3 linked regions of the Caenorhabditis elegans genome follow. The protein of the gene in region 3 interacts with the protein of the main gene of each other region in a pairwise test. Each region holds a gene or a part of one and is shown on either strand. Other genes may lie near its edges.

Region 1 (4,711 bases), about 12 Mb from region 3:
CATGAGAAACGTTTTAAAAATGGTGATTAAATTTTTTTAAAATCAGTTTTTCAGTTCAAATCTAAACAAAATGTAACTACAACATTCGTTATTAAAAATATATGCTCAAATATTGTTTTGTGCAATATGACCAGATTTTCAAAAAGCCGAGTAAGCAGTGGGTTGAAAAACGTATGCGTTAATTTTCAGCTCTATGTTGCTGGTTTAAAAAAAATAAATTCAATAGAAAATGAGTTGCAAACTATTTCACCACCAAAGCTTCTTCATGAAAACTCATCATTCTTGAGTTATAGGCGTTTCAAGTGAAAAGGCCAAAAATGAACCTGCGACGTGTTGGCCGCTGTATCTTTTGTCCTTCAATATTTTTGGATCATGAAACATTTTCAGCATGTAGAAGACATTTTAGGCACCAGTTTGTTATTTGAAATTTTCTTTTCAAAGTTCCTAGTTTGTGAGTTATAAAACGCATATTTTATTTCGGTCACCACTGTAACTAGGCGATTGCATCTCAAATTGGCAAATGTGGTTGTAAAAAGAGGCTTCTGGATCAGGGCTGGGACTTTTTCGAAATCTCATTTTCGAAACCGAAAACGAAAATGTTCGTTTTAAAACACGAAAACAAAAACGAACACGAAAATAGCACTGTTTCAAATCTACAACTGGACTTACAGTTTTTAGGCCATATGTTGCCTCGAAAGCTTTTTTGGTGGCAAGTACTCATTTACCTCTCTCTCATTGACGTACTTTGCTCATTAAAGGTGGAGTAGTGCCAGTGGGTAAATTGTTAAAACCCACTCCTTTAGTCCCATAATGACCAAATATCATGATAAAACTTTTCAAAAATTTTTTGAACAATTTTTATTTACTGTCAAAAAGTGGCAATTACTCAGTTTTTGCCACTCATAATTTTGGAACAGGGGTGTGCAGCAAATTTGCCGAATTTGCCGAATTTGCCGTTTGCCGAGCTCGGCAAATTTGCCGAATTTGCCGAATTTGCCGTTTGCCGAGCTCGGCAAATTTGCCGAATTTGCCGTTTGCCGAGCTCGGCAAATTTGCCAAATTTGCCGAATTTGCCGTTTGCCGAGCTCGGCCAATTTGCCGAATTTGCCGTTTGCCGAGCTCGGCAAATTTGCCGAATTTGCCGTTTGCCGAGCTCGGCAAATTTGCCGAATTTGCCGAATTTGCCGAGCTCGGCAAATTTTGAGATTTGCCGCACACCCCTGTTTTGGAAGTCGACCAAAAAAATTTCTTTTTCGACATTTTTTATGTTTTAATTTTGTTTAAATTCGTAGGGGTCGAAATATGCGACATTTCTTTAAATTTTCTCAAAAGCTCGTATTTTTCAAAATTTTTATTCGAAAACTTTTCACAAACTACCGTATATTCTCTATTAGTGCTTATAGGCCATAGAACTTGAAGCCCTTTTCGAACATAAGGATTCTACTGTAACTCTATTTTTCATCTGAAATTGTGTTTTGAACTTTTGAATTGAAGAAACAACAAGCTTTAATTTTTCAAAAATCATCAAAAATTTATTAGATACTGTGGAAATATGTTTTACTTGTTGCTTGAATGAATTTTTAGCCAAATTCGGTGCATTCAATAAGATAGCCCAACATTGGAGCTCAAAACAAAGAAACGTCCTGTCTTAAAATGAATGAATCTATTGTTACGCAAAAGAGTATTTTAATTGTTATCCAAAACTGAAAACTGTTGCCTTTTTTGTTTTTAAAGTTAATCTTCAGTACTGAGTCTTAGAAGAAAATAATTGATTTTTCAATACTATCCACACCGGAGAGCAAAATTTCGGCGAAAGTTCGAAAGAAAGTGGAAAAAATACCAGAATTAAATAAAGTCGTTTTATTTTCGTTTTTCGAACATTTTCGTCAAAACCCCGAAAATAACGAAAAAACGAAAACGCGAAAACGAAAAAGTCCCAGCCCTGTTCTGGATATAACACTTCGGAAGGTCAAAATAGTTCGAAAATACTTTCTAATTAAAGATAATGTTTTTGGAAAACGGTCAAATATTCTATATTCTAATTATGTTTCTACTCAAAAATGTGAGACACTTTCAAAATATTATTTTGGCATTTTGCCAAAACTTTGATATATATATTGAAGATCGTTATTAAAATATACTTTTTAAAAGTTTTTTAGCCAGGATTTTTTAAAAACTTTTTCAGGAATTGGTTGTTATAGTAAAAATAAAAACTATCTACTATGGTAAAAAAGTATTTACCAATTTTCGGTATAAAAAAGTCTGCCTATATGGAAGTTTTCAGTTGAAAATTGGTAAAATTATTTAATTTTTCGTGTAAAAATGCTTGGAATTTCAAATTTCCTATAAATGAAGTTCCGAACTGTCCAGGTGAAATGTATGAAATAATCATATTTTCCAACTTTTTTTTTTGTGTAAAAATGCTTGGTAAATAAATTTCAAATTTCATATGCGAAAATGTCTGAAGTTTCAATATTTTCGATTATTTTTTGTCATTTTAAACTCCAAATTTGGAATTAATTTAACCTACCGTAAATCGCATAAAACTGCCGAGCTTGCTGACTTCTGGCTTCAAAACTTCCACAACCATCTCATTGATTTCCGTTCGATTCGGCTGATCATTCGACTTTGCCATTGGAACTGCTCTCGAACAACATCTCCAAGTGTACATATTTGCAGCATGTTGCAATCCTTCAGAAAGCATGTCATTCTGTAATAATTTTCTGTTGACTAATTTCCTGTCCACACTTTATCGATTAACTCACAAATTGTGCATGCCTGGTGGCTTCCTCACTGTACTTGGCAATTCCCGTCACAAATGCACTACGATCTTCGAAGTTTGTGTCGAAGTTTGATCTGAAAATAATTTTTGAATTTGTTTTCTTCTTTCAGTTTCGCTACAAACCTATAGAGCAAGGGAAGAGCTCTCGCCTCAATATCGGGTAAATCATCGGGTATGGCGAGGGTGTCGAGAAGCTGCAAAACATCTGGTATGTTTGCTTTTTTTTATTTTAAAAACTCACATTCACATTGCTTATGGCATCGTCGACAGTTACGTTTGCGTTCATTTTTCAGCTGCAAAATATCATTAAAACGATTGCTCACGGGGGGAGGGGGCACTGTTTGAATGAATCAAAGGTGTGAGTGTGTAGAGGTGGGAGAGAGGGTGACTGTGTCCGCAAACACCGACGCTCACTCTGCGGACCTAGTTTCGAGGAGTGCCCGCGATGTCACTAAAACAAGGAAAGAAAAAATCATGCTAGTTATGTGTCTAGAAGTAAAAGTAAAGCTAAACTCAAACTAATGATTGGGAATTTAGCTGAAATTCCGAATAATTTTAAGATTTATTTATGCTTTTATACTTTTATACACGTATTTATTTTACTACTACGACTTTAAATGAGGGCGCATTTATGCTGAATGGGCTCACCAAAAATCGATTTTGAAATCTATTTTAACAGAGGTCTCGTTTCAAAGTCCAAGACTACTTTAAAAAAAGAACAGAATTTGTAGATATTTTGCTCAAAAGACTAAAACTGAATTAAAACCACCGAATTTCATAATGAGGCTTCTCAAAAATTTCTAAGCTCTAGAACATTTTTGGAAGTTTTTGAGAAGTCACATTAATTATGTTTTGGACCATTTTTTCAATCTATTTAAGTGAAACACCCACAAACTCTATTCCGTTTAACGTCGTGTGAATATGCTACTACTATACCATTGGTCTAGACAAAAACGTTATTTTATGATCGTAGAGGGGCAAAATGGGGAAAATACAAAATGCCAATAAAGGTTGAAAAAGGTTGAATTCTTGCCTTTCACAGCCTTTCAAGCGAGAATGGCACAAATACGACTTTACGCGGCCAGATCAATAAGTGTAGATCAAAATTTTTTACGATCGACGTCGCAACAAAATCCAAGACTACTTTAACGTCTTTCCTAGTGAATTTTTACTAGGGATTCTTTTCCCCTATCTAATAAGTTGGTAAATCCAATCTGGTCATTATCAATTTTGTTTTCGTGCACGTCTTACCAATGCTCTGTCACTTCAAAAATTATCCATTATTATTTTCTTTTTCCAATAGATTTAGTGTTCAAACGCAAACATTGTTTCCATCTAATACTATTTCCATTTTGTTGTATAATAGCCCTAGCATACCTACTTACCTACCTGCCTACTTATCGTCTGTTTTCCGGCTCCAGATCCTTGTTGTCCGCTTGACTGAGTGACTGTGAAATGAAAAAAAATTTTTACGTGTTTTTCTAAATGTGGATTTTCTAACGTAAATTCGAGAAAACATGTTCCTTAGCGTGAAACGTGACATTTTTAAAACGTTTTAGCTTTGTTTTTTTTAGTTTTTTAAAATTAATTTTCTCAAAATTATGAAGTTGACAGAATTTGCAACACAGCCTACCAACTGGACGTTATTCACTGAACTGTTTTTACAAATAATGACTTAAAATATGGAACGTGTTCTAGGTAATATCTGCCAGTTGAAAACTAGCTGTTTTCTGAAACTATGCAGATTTGTTAAATAGACATCTGGCTACAATTTGAACTGCTCATAGTAAGTGTTAGGGTAAAAATTAGACTAAAAATATTTAACACGGTCCCCAGTAAAATAATCACTAGGAAAATACGTTAAAGTGGTCTTAAATTTTGTTACGACGTCGATCGTATAAAATTAACTTTTGATCTACGCATATTTGC
Region 2 (4,838 bases), on a different chromosome or scaffold from region 3:
TTTTTACTGATTTTCTCTTGATTTTCGACTTTTTTTTGTAATTTTTTCCACTCCAATTATCGCCTACTAAACTGTTCTATAAATTGTATATTTCTCATCAAAACCAATTTTTCAGCGAGAATCAATTTTTAAATCGCAATTATAAAAATTTTCGATTTTTTCCCAAAAAATTTTAGATTACAAAAATCGAAAACAAAAACAATTTTTATCTAATTTTATTCAGATTTATGACAAAAAAGAAAACATGAGTTTTTCTTCTAAAAATTAGGAAAATGAGCAAAAAATTAGGATATTTTTTCGAAAAATCAAATTTTTTTCGATTTTTTGAAAAATCGGACAAAAAATGTTTAGAATCAAATTTTGTTTATTACGGGAATACTATATTCTGAGATTCCGTATTAGGCAATAAATTTGACTCAAATTCGGTTTTTTTTCCTAGTCTTTCCTAGCTCAATTTCGAGGATTTTGGGTTACTGTAGCTCCAAAAATACGCGAATACCGATTAGACACTGAATCTTACGACAAATTGCGGAGTTTGCTCAAATTTCGAGTTTAGCATTCAATTTTTGATTGAAATGCGTTTTTTCTAGTTTTTCACTCAATTTTAAAATAATCCGGGTTACTGTAGCTCCAGAAGTACGCACACACCGATTAGGCACCAAATCTTACGCCAATTTGCAGAAAATCTGAGAAAATTGAAATTTTGTGGTCAATAAAAACGTTCTGAATATTGAAGAATTGGAGTTTCTAGCTTAATTTTGAGGTTTTTGGGTTACTGCACGGCCCGGCAAGTGGTACATCCATGCAAATGCGCTCTACTGATAATTTGAGTGTAGACCAGGTTTGGGCGCGTGATAACGAAAAAAGCTTTGGTCCAAAAAATTTAGAATTTAATTTCGGACATTTTTTATATGCATCACAAAAAAACTGGACCAACCGTTTTTGAGATACACGCGCCCAGGTATACGGTAGACAAATTGCGTACAGGTACCACTTCTCGGGCCGTGTACTGTAGCTCCAGAAATATTACGGGAACAATAAATCATGAGAATGCGTACTTGGTGCATTTTATTTGGCGCGCGATATCTCTTAGAGAAAACTACAGTAAGAACTCAAATAACAATAGATATTTAAGCTCTTACTGTAGTTTTCGCTAAGAGATATATCTCATGATTTATTGTTCCCGTAATACGCAAATTGCGGAGTTTGTTCAAATTTTGAGTTCAGCATTCAATTTTTAAACGAAATGCGGATTTTTATAGTCAAAGCTCAACTTTAAGGCAAAATATCTCGTAGCGAAAACTACAGTAATTGTTTAATTACTACTGTAGTGCTGGTGTCGATTTACGGGCCCGATTTTTGAAACTGCTGTTCGAATATTCGATTTTCTTAGTTTTCTTTTAATATTGCAATAATTAATCAATAATTTTCGTAAATCGACATAAGCGCTACAGTAGTCATTTAAACGATTACTGTAGTTTTCGCTACGAGATATTTTGCGCGTCAAATATGTTGTGCAATACGTATTCTCGGAGTTTAGTCTTCCCAGGCATAAGAAAATATACAATTTTCTTCTACAAAGAAGAAAAATGGCTATTTTTCGGAAAATCGATTTTTTTTTCAAATTATCGAAAAAAATTAGGTTTTTCCAAAAAAATCGAGACCCTTATTCTCGCCCCTAAAAAAACCTAGCATTTTTTCAGCTCAATTGCAGTAAAACCCTCATGCATATGTAGTCGAGTAGCAGCAACAGCAGCTGTGACCAGCCAAAAGAAGAAAACGAAGCGGATGCAGAAGTAGTCGTCGTTTTGATCTCTGCGTCTCTCTCTGCAATTCTATCTCTCTCTCTGCTCCGGCGGGCCGCCGCGGCGTCGTCGTCCTCGTCTTTTTTGCCGATTTGCTCTTTTTTTCGTCGTAGTCGTCACTTAGGCTCTGCTCGTTTTGAGCCGCCTATATTTATTTTCTATTTTTATTTGAACAACAGACTACTATGTGATAAAAGAGATATGATATCATTTTATCAATTTCCATGAAGAGAAAATGCTGAAAAAGCTTTGGATTTGTATCTCCTGCATTGGTTAGTTTGGAGTTTTCACCCCTGGAAATAATTGGCTTCATTTAAAAAAAAATTAGCTGAATAATTATTTTTTTAAAAGGAAAATTAGGCTAACTCTGAAAATAAGTAAATTCATATTATAATTGTAAATTCAAAAAAGTACAGTAATATTCAATGAGTCTCGCCACGAAGAGTTAGATTTTTAGAAAATATGAATGTGCGTTTAATTTTACCATTTTAGGAAAAAAAACACAAGTTTTTAAAAAATTAAAAATAGAATAAAATTGGAATATATACAGTAAATTGAAAAAGTTTTTGAAATTTTGTTTGCGCGGTGAGACCAAAGAATTCATAAATTTTTGATTTTTTTTGAATAAAAGTCGAAAAGCCAAAAATTTCAGATTTTTCAGCAAATTTTGATAATAATTTTTTCTGAAAAACCTGATTTTTCAGAAAAAAAATTTTAAACTAAATTTTTTCAATACGCGGTCATGAAAATATAAAACTAGGCCCATGTTTCAGACATAATCACGTGGTATCAGAGTGTCTCATTTCTGCTTGATCTACAAAAAATGCGGGAGAAGAGACGTAGAGTTCTCCACTGATTTCGCATGGTTAAGAACGTGCTGACGTCACATATTTTTGGGCAAAAAATACCCGCATTTTTTGTAGATCAAACCGCAATGGGATAGCCTGACACCACGCGAATAATGATAAAATCCTGAAAAAAAAGAGAAAAAGAAATACGAAACCGAAAAGTGCATTTGACACTTTTTTCCGATGCGCCATGTCTTGCTCATCTTTGACGGCTCATATCTCGGTTGCCTTTTGGTTTTATTTAAAAAATTTCCACTGGAAAAATAATTTTTATTGCTTTTTCTACAGTTTTGCATTAAAAAATAATTTGATATCATCAAAACTCACAGATTTACGAGCAGCCAAAGTTGTCCTCATTCCCAGACATGGTGCATCAGACTGATTTAACTTTGACAGCTCATATCTCGGTTGTCTTTATTTTTATCAAAAGATTGTCAACTAACAAAAAGTGTAGTATATTTTTTTCTACAGATTTGTAGTTGAAAGTTTTTTGATATCTTCAAAACTCACAGAGATATAAAGCTTCGAAAAATTACAGTCACTACTGCTCTCTCGGACCACATCACATTCTCCCCGCCCGATGAAGCATTCGTATTATTTCACAGTCATCAAAACACAAATTTTACATCTGTATTTGTTCAGGTAAGAGTTTGCTCAGAAGGCAGGCCTGTAAGCAGGCAGGTAGGCCTTCATTAAACCTCTAACTTTCAGGATGGTTGTCCGAATAGTCGAAATCTCATGGCGACCGTTTACTCTGCAGATTTGTCATCTTCAAGACGGGTTTTTGAAGAAATCCCGTTGCATTGTGCGGTCAGAGTCAGGATTATTACGGAGAAAGTTGTCGTGGTAAGGGAAAATATTTTCTGGGAGTTTTTCAGAAAGTTCTAGGCATTTCTAGAAATCTTCAAAAATTCAATAAAGTTTTCCAAAAAAAAAATTTCGAATTGTACTGAAATTTCTTGAATTATTTTTTGAACGTTATAGAATTTCCAAAAACTTTTCCGAAATTGTTTTAAAATTTTCCAGGTTTTTCCAGAAATTTGTCAGAGACATCAGCTTCAAAGTGCAAAATATCAATTTTCCAGACGAGACCCTATGTTGATTTACTGGCAGTTGTAGACGAGTCACTTTCTCGTCATGTCGGAGCAATTTGTGTGCATGCTCAACTAACTTCATCAACTTCTGCAATCGGTGAGCTCATGTCAAGTTCAGTCGGACTAAAAACGCAACTAGTTATGGGAAAATTGGAAATAATTAGTTTTTTTGCGTCTTGTCGGTGTTTCAAAGATCAAAAAAAAAATTGCGCGTAATACAAGTATGGTGCATTAATTTTCGAGAAATTTAAATTTAAATTGCGCGCCAAATTAGAATTTTAACTTCGCGCCAAAAAAAAATAAATTTGACGCCAACATTTAGAAAAAAACATTTAAATTCGAATTTCGCCCCAAAATTTGGAAAAAAACTGAAAAATTCAAACTTCGCGCCAAAAATTAGAAAAAATATAAAAAAATTTTAATTTCGCGCCAAACGTTGAAAAAATCTGAAAATTTCAAATTTCGTCCCAAGTTTTTAAAAATTTTTGAAAGAATTTCGAACTGTGGCAAAAAATTTGAAAAAATCAGAAAAATTCGAATTCCTCGCCAAAATTTGAAAGAAAAGTACTAAAAATTGAATTTTGTCCCAAATTTTCTAAAATCCCCCAAGGGGACCTACGCAGCCTTCTCAATAGGCAGGCAGGTAGGCAGGTAAGCATAACAAATAATCCCTACTATAATTTTTCCAGAGCTCGGAAAATGCTACCTAAACCGTCACGAAGATCAAAAATCGAGCTGCGTTATCCGAATCCCCGTACCATTTTCATGGTTCCCAGTGGATCAGAATCGAACAAGTGTGCTCTCAGTCTCCTATACTGTATCCGAAAAATGTGATCAAAACTTCCATGATCTACCACAACATTTGATTGAAGTCAACTCCCGAATCGCCAAACAGAAAATCGATTGGCTCGCCAACGCTACAGAAACGTCTGGAATTCTCTAGAATTTTTTAAAAAAGTAATTCAAATTTTCAGATCAGTAACACTACTATCTACGGCGAGCCAGGCGTTTTCTCAAAATTCAATGCAAACATTGTTTCTTCACGTCAAAAGTTGGGCAAATGAAACACAGCCAATGGAAATTAGGTGACA
Region 3 (6,536 bases):
TCTCCCGATCTTCGCCACGAAGAGTTAATCGGAAACCTTGAGCCTGGTTGTTTACAATCACGAACAAATTTGTGTTCTTCATTCTGAAAACCGGGCAATTTGACTTTAATTTCTCAAACAACAAAGACTCACTTCAAACTCGGATACCTAGAAACTTCCATGTTACAATAAACGGTCTCGATCGGCTCGACTCCATGAATAACCGTCAGCTTCCTGCTATTCACCTCCATAACAACGCGAATATCTTTGCCCTGCAAATTTAACTTTTCGATACAGAATTCATCTATTTTTAAAACCTCTTGTCGATTACCGCTTCCTCTCAATTGCTTATACTTTATGATCGGCCACTGGAGTGTCTGCAATTCAGGAAACATACTGAAGAGACTGCAAAAACATAAATAATTTTTTTTTACTAAAAATGTCTAAAAATTTCGACCTCATTGGACCTCAAAATGTGAAAAAATTCAAAATTGCATGCCGGTCGTGGCGAGACCCATCCATCACTTTTACGCGCGAATTCAAATTCAAATTACCAAGCATATCTAATTTAGCTAATTCTCGTTTTTTTAACTTAAAATTTAATCGCATTTATGTAATAGATAAAATAAAAATTTTTGATAAATTGATAAAAAGTTTATTATGACGACAAACTGCAATAAATTAAAGCCAAATGGAAGGCAAAATGAGTACTTGGGAGCAATGATTCACACGAAAATGCAGGGAATAATAGTCAAAAAGGCGGTATTCGGAAGCGGGAACCCGTATAGTAATGGTTCGTTGAAGAAAGAAAAATAAAATAAATAAAATACAGGCACAGGAAGTATGTGAGAAGGGATCGTAGCTGTACATATTGGGATCGCAGATAAAATTATTGAGCATCAGCCTCGTAGCATTGTTGGTAGGCTGTACGGACGAGATTATATGGGAAACAGGTTTCAAGAACATCCATCGACAGCCAACGGTTTTTCCGAACCATCTGTTCAAGGATAATGTAGAGAGTTGTGTGGGAACGAAGAACGTCGTCGGATATTTGTCGACTGTTATCACGTTCATGAATAGTTCGTAGAATACCCGAGGACGCGAGCTGAAAATTTTTCTAGGTGAGAATATGTGTTAATAATGATAGAGCTAACCGCCAAGAACTCCTTCATCCTCGACTGGATATCATTTTGCTCGTGGAGATGGAAAAGAGCTGATCCGATAGTGTTAATCGCCATTGGAACACAGTGACTATTGTTCAAGCTGGCTGAAATTGTTTATTTTTAATTTTTGCAAAAAGCTGTAAAAGTATGTACCTTGAATGCTAGGCTTGTAAGACGAAAGATCCGACATTCCAATTCGTGGAATACAGATAGCGACGGCAACCATCAATAGACAACTATTAACATAGTGTTCTTGAGGGTGAATATTCGGATTTTGAGCACGAACCGCATTCACCAACGACATATCAACTGGTCCTGTGACTCCCATCGCAGCTGACATTTCTCCAATTTTAACTTTATCAACATCGTCCAAATTGTGATAAAGCATATCAAATGATGCTTGAAGAAATGGCAATTTAGATTCGACGATATGACGAAGAGCATCGTGGAGAGCATCACGAAACAGACAAATCTGTCCGATAATAATAGTTCTTTGCAGAATTGCATCAGCTGCGCATGTTGCGTTCGGAGTTTTCTTGTCCTTTGGTTCGACGCTCAAAAGATTTAAAACATCCTTCATCTTTTCAGCATTATCGAAATTAGATCTAGCAATCTGTAGAGCATCTTTGTATGTTGCAACAATCTTGCTCATCTCCATAATTTGACTGGCCACGTGCCAAATCAGCCGTTCAGTCATCAACTTTACTCCATAAGGTCCGATAATTTGAACCAATGCTCTCAATTCTTGAGGATCTGAATAATGATCGGGCATGAACGAGAGTTGTTCCTGTCCTGATGATAACATTGTTCGTAGATGCTCACTCCAAACCATATGACCAGATGAAGCACGACGGAGCAAAACTTCGAGATACCATTTCGTGTAGAGTGCTGCGATTGTGTCTTTATTCTTGGAATCAACGAGTTGAGTTTGTTGTAGAAGAGTTGTTTGCATTGTATTACTGATATCCACAGAAACTGAAATTCCATTTATGAGAATATTTATAGATTATTTTAAAAACCACTTACTTGCTGTATCAAGATTTTGAAGAACCGTCATGTAGGCTTGTAGCGCAAGGAGCATTTCACTTGGTCTTTTTGGATTACTTGCATGTGGTTGACCTTCCCAGAACATTCCATGAAGCAATTCTACAAATTTAGTTTCAAGGGACTGCGCTAGGTACGTCCTCGGTGCAAATGTGTGATCAGCAACGTAAATTTGACGATGAGCTCCGAGAGCTGCAGAGATTTCAACTGAAAAGTGGGAAATTTGTGATATAAAATCTAATTTAAAAAACGTTTTAAAACTTACGAAGAGTTGTTTGCAACTTATCAGGCATTGTTAATGCTTGACGATCAACTCGATAACTTTCTTCTCCAGCAATGAAATAATCTCGAGCGGCTGCTGCGGCCGCCGCTGCAGCTTTTCCAGATCCTTTCTGTTGAACAACTTGAGCAACAACTCTTACAGCCACGGCGCTCGGTGTCATTTGATAAGCTAATCCGAATTCATGTTCAGCCACTTTTTCCAGGATATATGACAATTGTTTGCACGTCTCTTCAATTACAGAATTGCATTGAGCCAAGGCTTTTTCAGTGATAAATGCTTTTTCTTCAGGACACATGTCATGGAGGGCGCTTGTGAAATGCGCGGCAAGACGTGCAAAACTGAGCACATATCGAGCTTGAGCAGGTAGCTGGAGACAGTTGAGCCAATGTTTTTCAGCGAGTTTTGGATAGAAGCAGTATAATGATAAATCACTTGTTTCCCTTAGCATCTCGTCTTGCAAATCGATCATTTTCAGATGAAAAACTGAAGTATTCATGTATATTGCGAGTTTTTTATGTCTTGAAAGTTGGAAATGGCTCCGAGCAGCAGATGTCCAAGCTTGAAATCTAAACCAGTCTAGTCGAAGAGCACGAAGATCCGTATCAGAGTTGATATTTCCTATTTCGTTGGCAAAATCGGTCAAAAGAACCGCTTCTTCCTGGGTGAGGCCATTTGCTTGGTTAATCTCTTCAGAAACAACAATTGAATCATAGCTAGACACGTACTGAAAATAAAAAAGATTTAAAATAGATAAATTTAAAGTTTTAACAAAACCTGTAGATAGTATCTTTGAATCACTGCATAATATTTCGTAACGAGATCTCTTAATTCCAGCATATAAAATAGCAGTTCTGGAAGTTGCCTGTCAACAAGCTCCTCGACCATTCTGCTGCCTTTTTTGCTGATAGCAGGAACTTCAACTTGATGCCGTAGAAGCCATATGACCTCATCTCTTCCTGCTCCAAGAGCCATCCAGACATAGAGAATTTTCGGGCCAAGTAGTCCGGGCTGATCTCGTAGTAAAAGTGACAGCTCTCGAAGAGAACTTCTAAGGAAGCGGCGACGGTCTGCGTGGACGGCAACTCTGAAATACAAATTATTAGAAAACGCTTTGTTTATCATATTTTTTAACTTACGCAGTAACAGATGCATGATTGAACGCATCTTTAACATCTTGTAACCGTTTGCTTTTTTCTTTGGAAGATTCTAAAAACGCTTGAATCTCTTGATGAACAATAAATGTTTCGTCTCGGAAAACGCGAAGACACAGATTCATTTGAAGTGCCAGCTGCCACATGTGCCTAATGTTGTCATCGTTAAGAAGAGTTGAATGGCATACTGTTCCGCAGACTGAAAATATTACAATTTTAATAAACATTTTAATACTAATTTGTATATTAACTTACACACAATCCATCGATCAATGACGTCGAGTGATAGATATTCGCATGCAATCTGAAACGATTTACATAAATAATTTTCCATTAAATAAAAACTTGCTCACAGTTTCTGTTTGAGCAGCATATAAAATTTGTGCTGGAGCAGCGGTCAACGAGAAAACATTTGATGTTCTCCATGAATCTGCTGTCTTGTTTCTGCGCTGATATGTGTGTGTAACAGAAGAAAGAGCTGAATAAATTAGCCTGTTCAGTGGTCCGAGATCTTCATGAAGCTTTTTTAACGGATTTTCATAATCAAGAATCATTTGTCCTAATCTTGGAAATGATGCTTCACTTTGTCCGTGTTGTAGATCATATGCCGCATTAAAAAGTCCAAGAACAGCTTTCCGGTCTTCAATTCTTGATAAAAGAATCATCATTGTGACGAGATGTACAACAAGATTCAAATAACTCGTTGTCAGGTCGTAATTGAGCGTCTAAAAAATAAAATTTTAGCTTAAACATTATACGAACGATATAAATATTTAAAATCAATAATATACTCACCACATCCAGCTGACATTGACATGATTCCATAGTTGTCAAAACTTGCATAATGTGATCTTTTAAATCAAGAATATCAGCAAATGTGTAGTAATATAGCGATAAAGATTTTGTAATTTCCGTGGACTTTTCTTGTACATATTCGAACGTCGACTGAAATTAATTTCGGCATGAGAAATCAACAATTTGAACTACTCACTGAATTCGATCTGCAATCAACAACAGGAAACTTTCTAACTATATGTTTGATTGCACCTTCCATCTTCTTGTCGCTAAGAAATTGTGGTTTCACTTTTGAATCTGAAATCTTCAGCATTTTATAACAACAGAAATTTTCAAAGACTACTCACCGCCGCTTGATTTCTTAATATTGTATATCCGTGTCATCATTCCAGCAGCACGATCATTCAGTATCACAAGTTTTTCAGCAATTTTCACCTGTCTGGCATCTTTGTAAGCCATTTTGCTGAAAATTGGAGAGAAAATTGAAGGGGAAATGAGTCACAAATTGGATTACAGTTTAAAGGCGCATTCAATTAAACAAGAGGTGTCTCTCACCACGGCTGTGCAAGCATGCTCTATTGCGCTCTTTTGTTGGCGGCAGTTTGAACGAGAGAGGGAGACCGTTATAAAAAATGTAGACCACGAAAAATCTAGACCACGAAAATATTTAAAAAAGCTATTTTCAGACAGATTTTCAGGTTTTTACAAAAGAAGTTTATTTAATGGGGAATAAACTTCTTGTTTTATTGCAATTTGTCACCGCAGAATATGATCTAGATCACCGTGAATGGCACTGACGAGGTTCAAGAACTGGAAAAACGAACAAAAAAAAATATTTGGAATGTTTGGAAAAAAAAAACATAAAATCAAACTGAAGAACTATTCACCAAATATGTTGCTTTTATGAACTTTCAAGCTTTTTGTGAACTTTTGTGTCGACTTTTCTTAAAAATCATATTTTTCCAAATTATTTCCCCACTTTATGTATAGTGATTGTTTAGTGAGAAGAACAAAAATTCCTTGTAAATCCCTAAATACAGACAGACAGTTTCACATCCAATTACGAAATATTTCATTTGATATTTCCAAATATTTCCAATTTATATCTCTTCGTCCCTCCGTGGCAGCTTAGTTCATCAAACCTTTCCACCGTCGATTCGAATCGGCTTTCTTATCAGGTCAAATGCTATAGATAGCTGGTCTCTCTCCCTCTCTCTCTCTCTATCTCTCTCTCTCTGATAGTCCGAAGAAATTCTCACATCGTTTACAATAGCGAACAACACCGAAATGGCTGTAGATGGAGGAGAAGAAGAAGAAGCATGAGACCAGCAAGGATCGGGAAACTGTGAAAGAGAGAAACGGGTTTGACGAAAGGCCGGACGGATGGTTAGCCTCTCTTTCTCTCCCTCTTTCCCGGGAGGCCTTCCTTTCATTCAAATGTTTCCATCGCTTTTCGTTGAATACTTCCACTCACTTTTGTTACTTCTACACATTTTTCTTCATTTCATATCTTTTTATGAAACTTTTTGGATTCAAAGTTTTCACTTGTTCGTTTCATTTAACTTGCAAAAAAAACAACTATCTTCATCTTAAATCTGTCAGAAAAGGTGCGAAGTCATCGCATTCATACAGCTTCTCCATCTTCTACAGCTCGCCTCATTCAATCTATTCACTGTGTCAAACGTGTTTCTAGTTTCCATATGTCTATACAACTTTTATCTCTTCCGTTCTCTGTAATACAATTATTTTCTGTTCTTTTGAATCGTTTTACACACATTGCGTAATACCGATCGAACAGTTTCTATCGGGTCCTGGCACGCGCGGAATTTTTCAACTACCGTACCTCTTTGATTGTTTCGTTAGTTGAAATGTTTCGATCGTGACAAGACTCAAGTTGGTGATTTTAAATTAAAATTCAAAGTTTTTGATTTAAGTATTTAATAGCATAAACTTTGACAATGCTGCACTGATTTTCCAAATTAGGCTCCGCCCATATCTTGGCTCTTTTGAAATTTTACATTGCATTTTCTCGTACTTTACTTCTACATAGTCTACGAACACAGAATAGATACCTAAAATAAACTCAAAAATTCCATACTTTTTGAAACTGTGCATGGCAAG

Evidence for each region.
Region 1: the proteins of gex-3 (region 3) and gex-2 interact in binary tests that used the Caenorhabditis elegans proteins (3 or more experiments, as listed by UniProt).
Region 2: the proteins of gex-3 (region 3) and tmem-132 interact in a two-hybrid assay, tested with the Caenorhabditis elegans proteins (one study listed by BioGRID).

What each region holds. Positions count from the first base shown.
Region 1 is NC_003282.8:571,133-575,843, reverse strand, and holds the start of gex-2 (Cytoplasmic FMR1-interacting protein homolog), read right to left. Parts: upstream 3,076-4,711; 5' UTR 3,069-3,075; coding exon 3,024-3,068; intron 2,977-3,023; coding exon 2,906-2,976; intron 2,857-2,905; coding exon 2,766-2,856; intron 2,711-2,765; coding exon 2,531-2,710; intron 1-2,530. UniProt on the Caenorhabditis elegans protein: Required for initial steps of body morphogenesis. May play a role in egg laying and yolk protein clatherin-mediated endocytosis by oocytes during oogenesis.
Region 2 is NC_003281.10:2,713,480-2,718,317, reverse strand, and holds the start of tmem-132 (Transmembrane protein 132 homolog), read left to right. Parts: upstream 1-1,703; 5' UTR 1,704-2,040; coding exon 2,041-2,077; intron 2,078-3,191; coding exon 3,192-3,295; intron 3,296-3,364; coding exon 3,365-3,499; intron 3,500-3,738; coding exon 3,739-3,844; intron 3,845-4,436; coding exon 4,437-4,674; intron 4,675-4,721; coding exon 4,722-4,832; intron 4,833-4,838.
Region 3 is NC_003282.8:12,402,773-12,409,308, reverse strand, and holds gex-3 (Membrane-associated protein gex-3), read right to left. Parts: upstream 4,879-6,536; 5' UTR 4,875-4,878; coding exon 4,763-4,874; intron 4,713-4,762; coding exon 4,612-4,712; intron 4,566-4,611; coding exon 4,416-4,565; intron 4,346-4,415; coding exon 3,974-4,345; intron 3,925-3,973; coding exon 3,876-3,924; intron 3,820-3,875; coding exon 3,606-3,819; intron 3,554-3,605; coding exon 3,244-3,553; intron 3,194-3,243; coding exon 2,452-3,193; intron 2,394-2,451; coding exon 2,169-2,393; intron 2,118-2,168; coding exon 1,296-2,117; intron 1,247-1,295; coding exon 1,134-1,246; intron 1,085-1,133; coding exon 869-1,084; 3' UTR 619-868; downstream 1-618. Other genes in the region: dsb-1 (Double-Strand Break factor), read right to left, coding at 1-83, 133-251, 297-374. UniProt on the Caenorhabditis elegans protein: Rac effector required for tissue morphogenesis, cell migrations and egg laying. May play a role in egg laying and in yolk protein clatherin-mediated endocytosis by oocytes during oogenesis.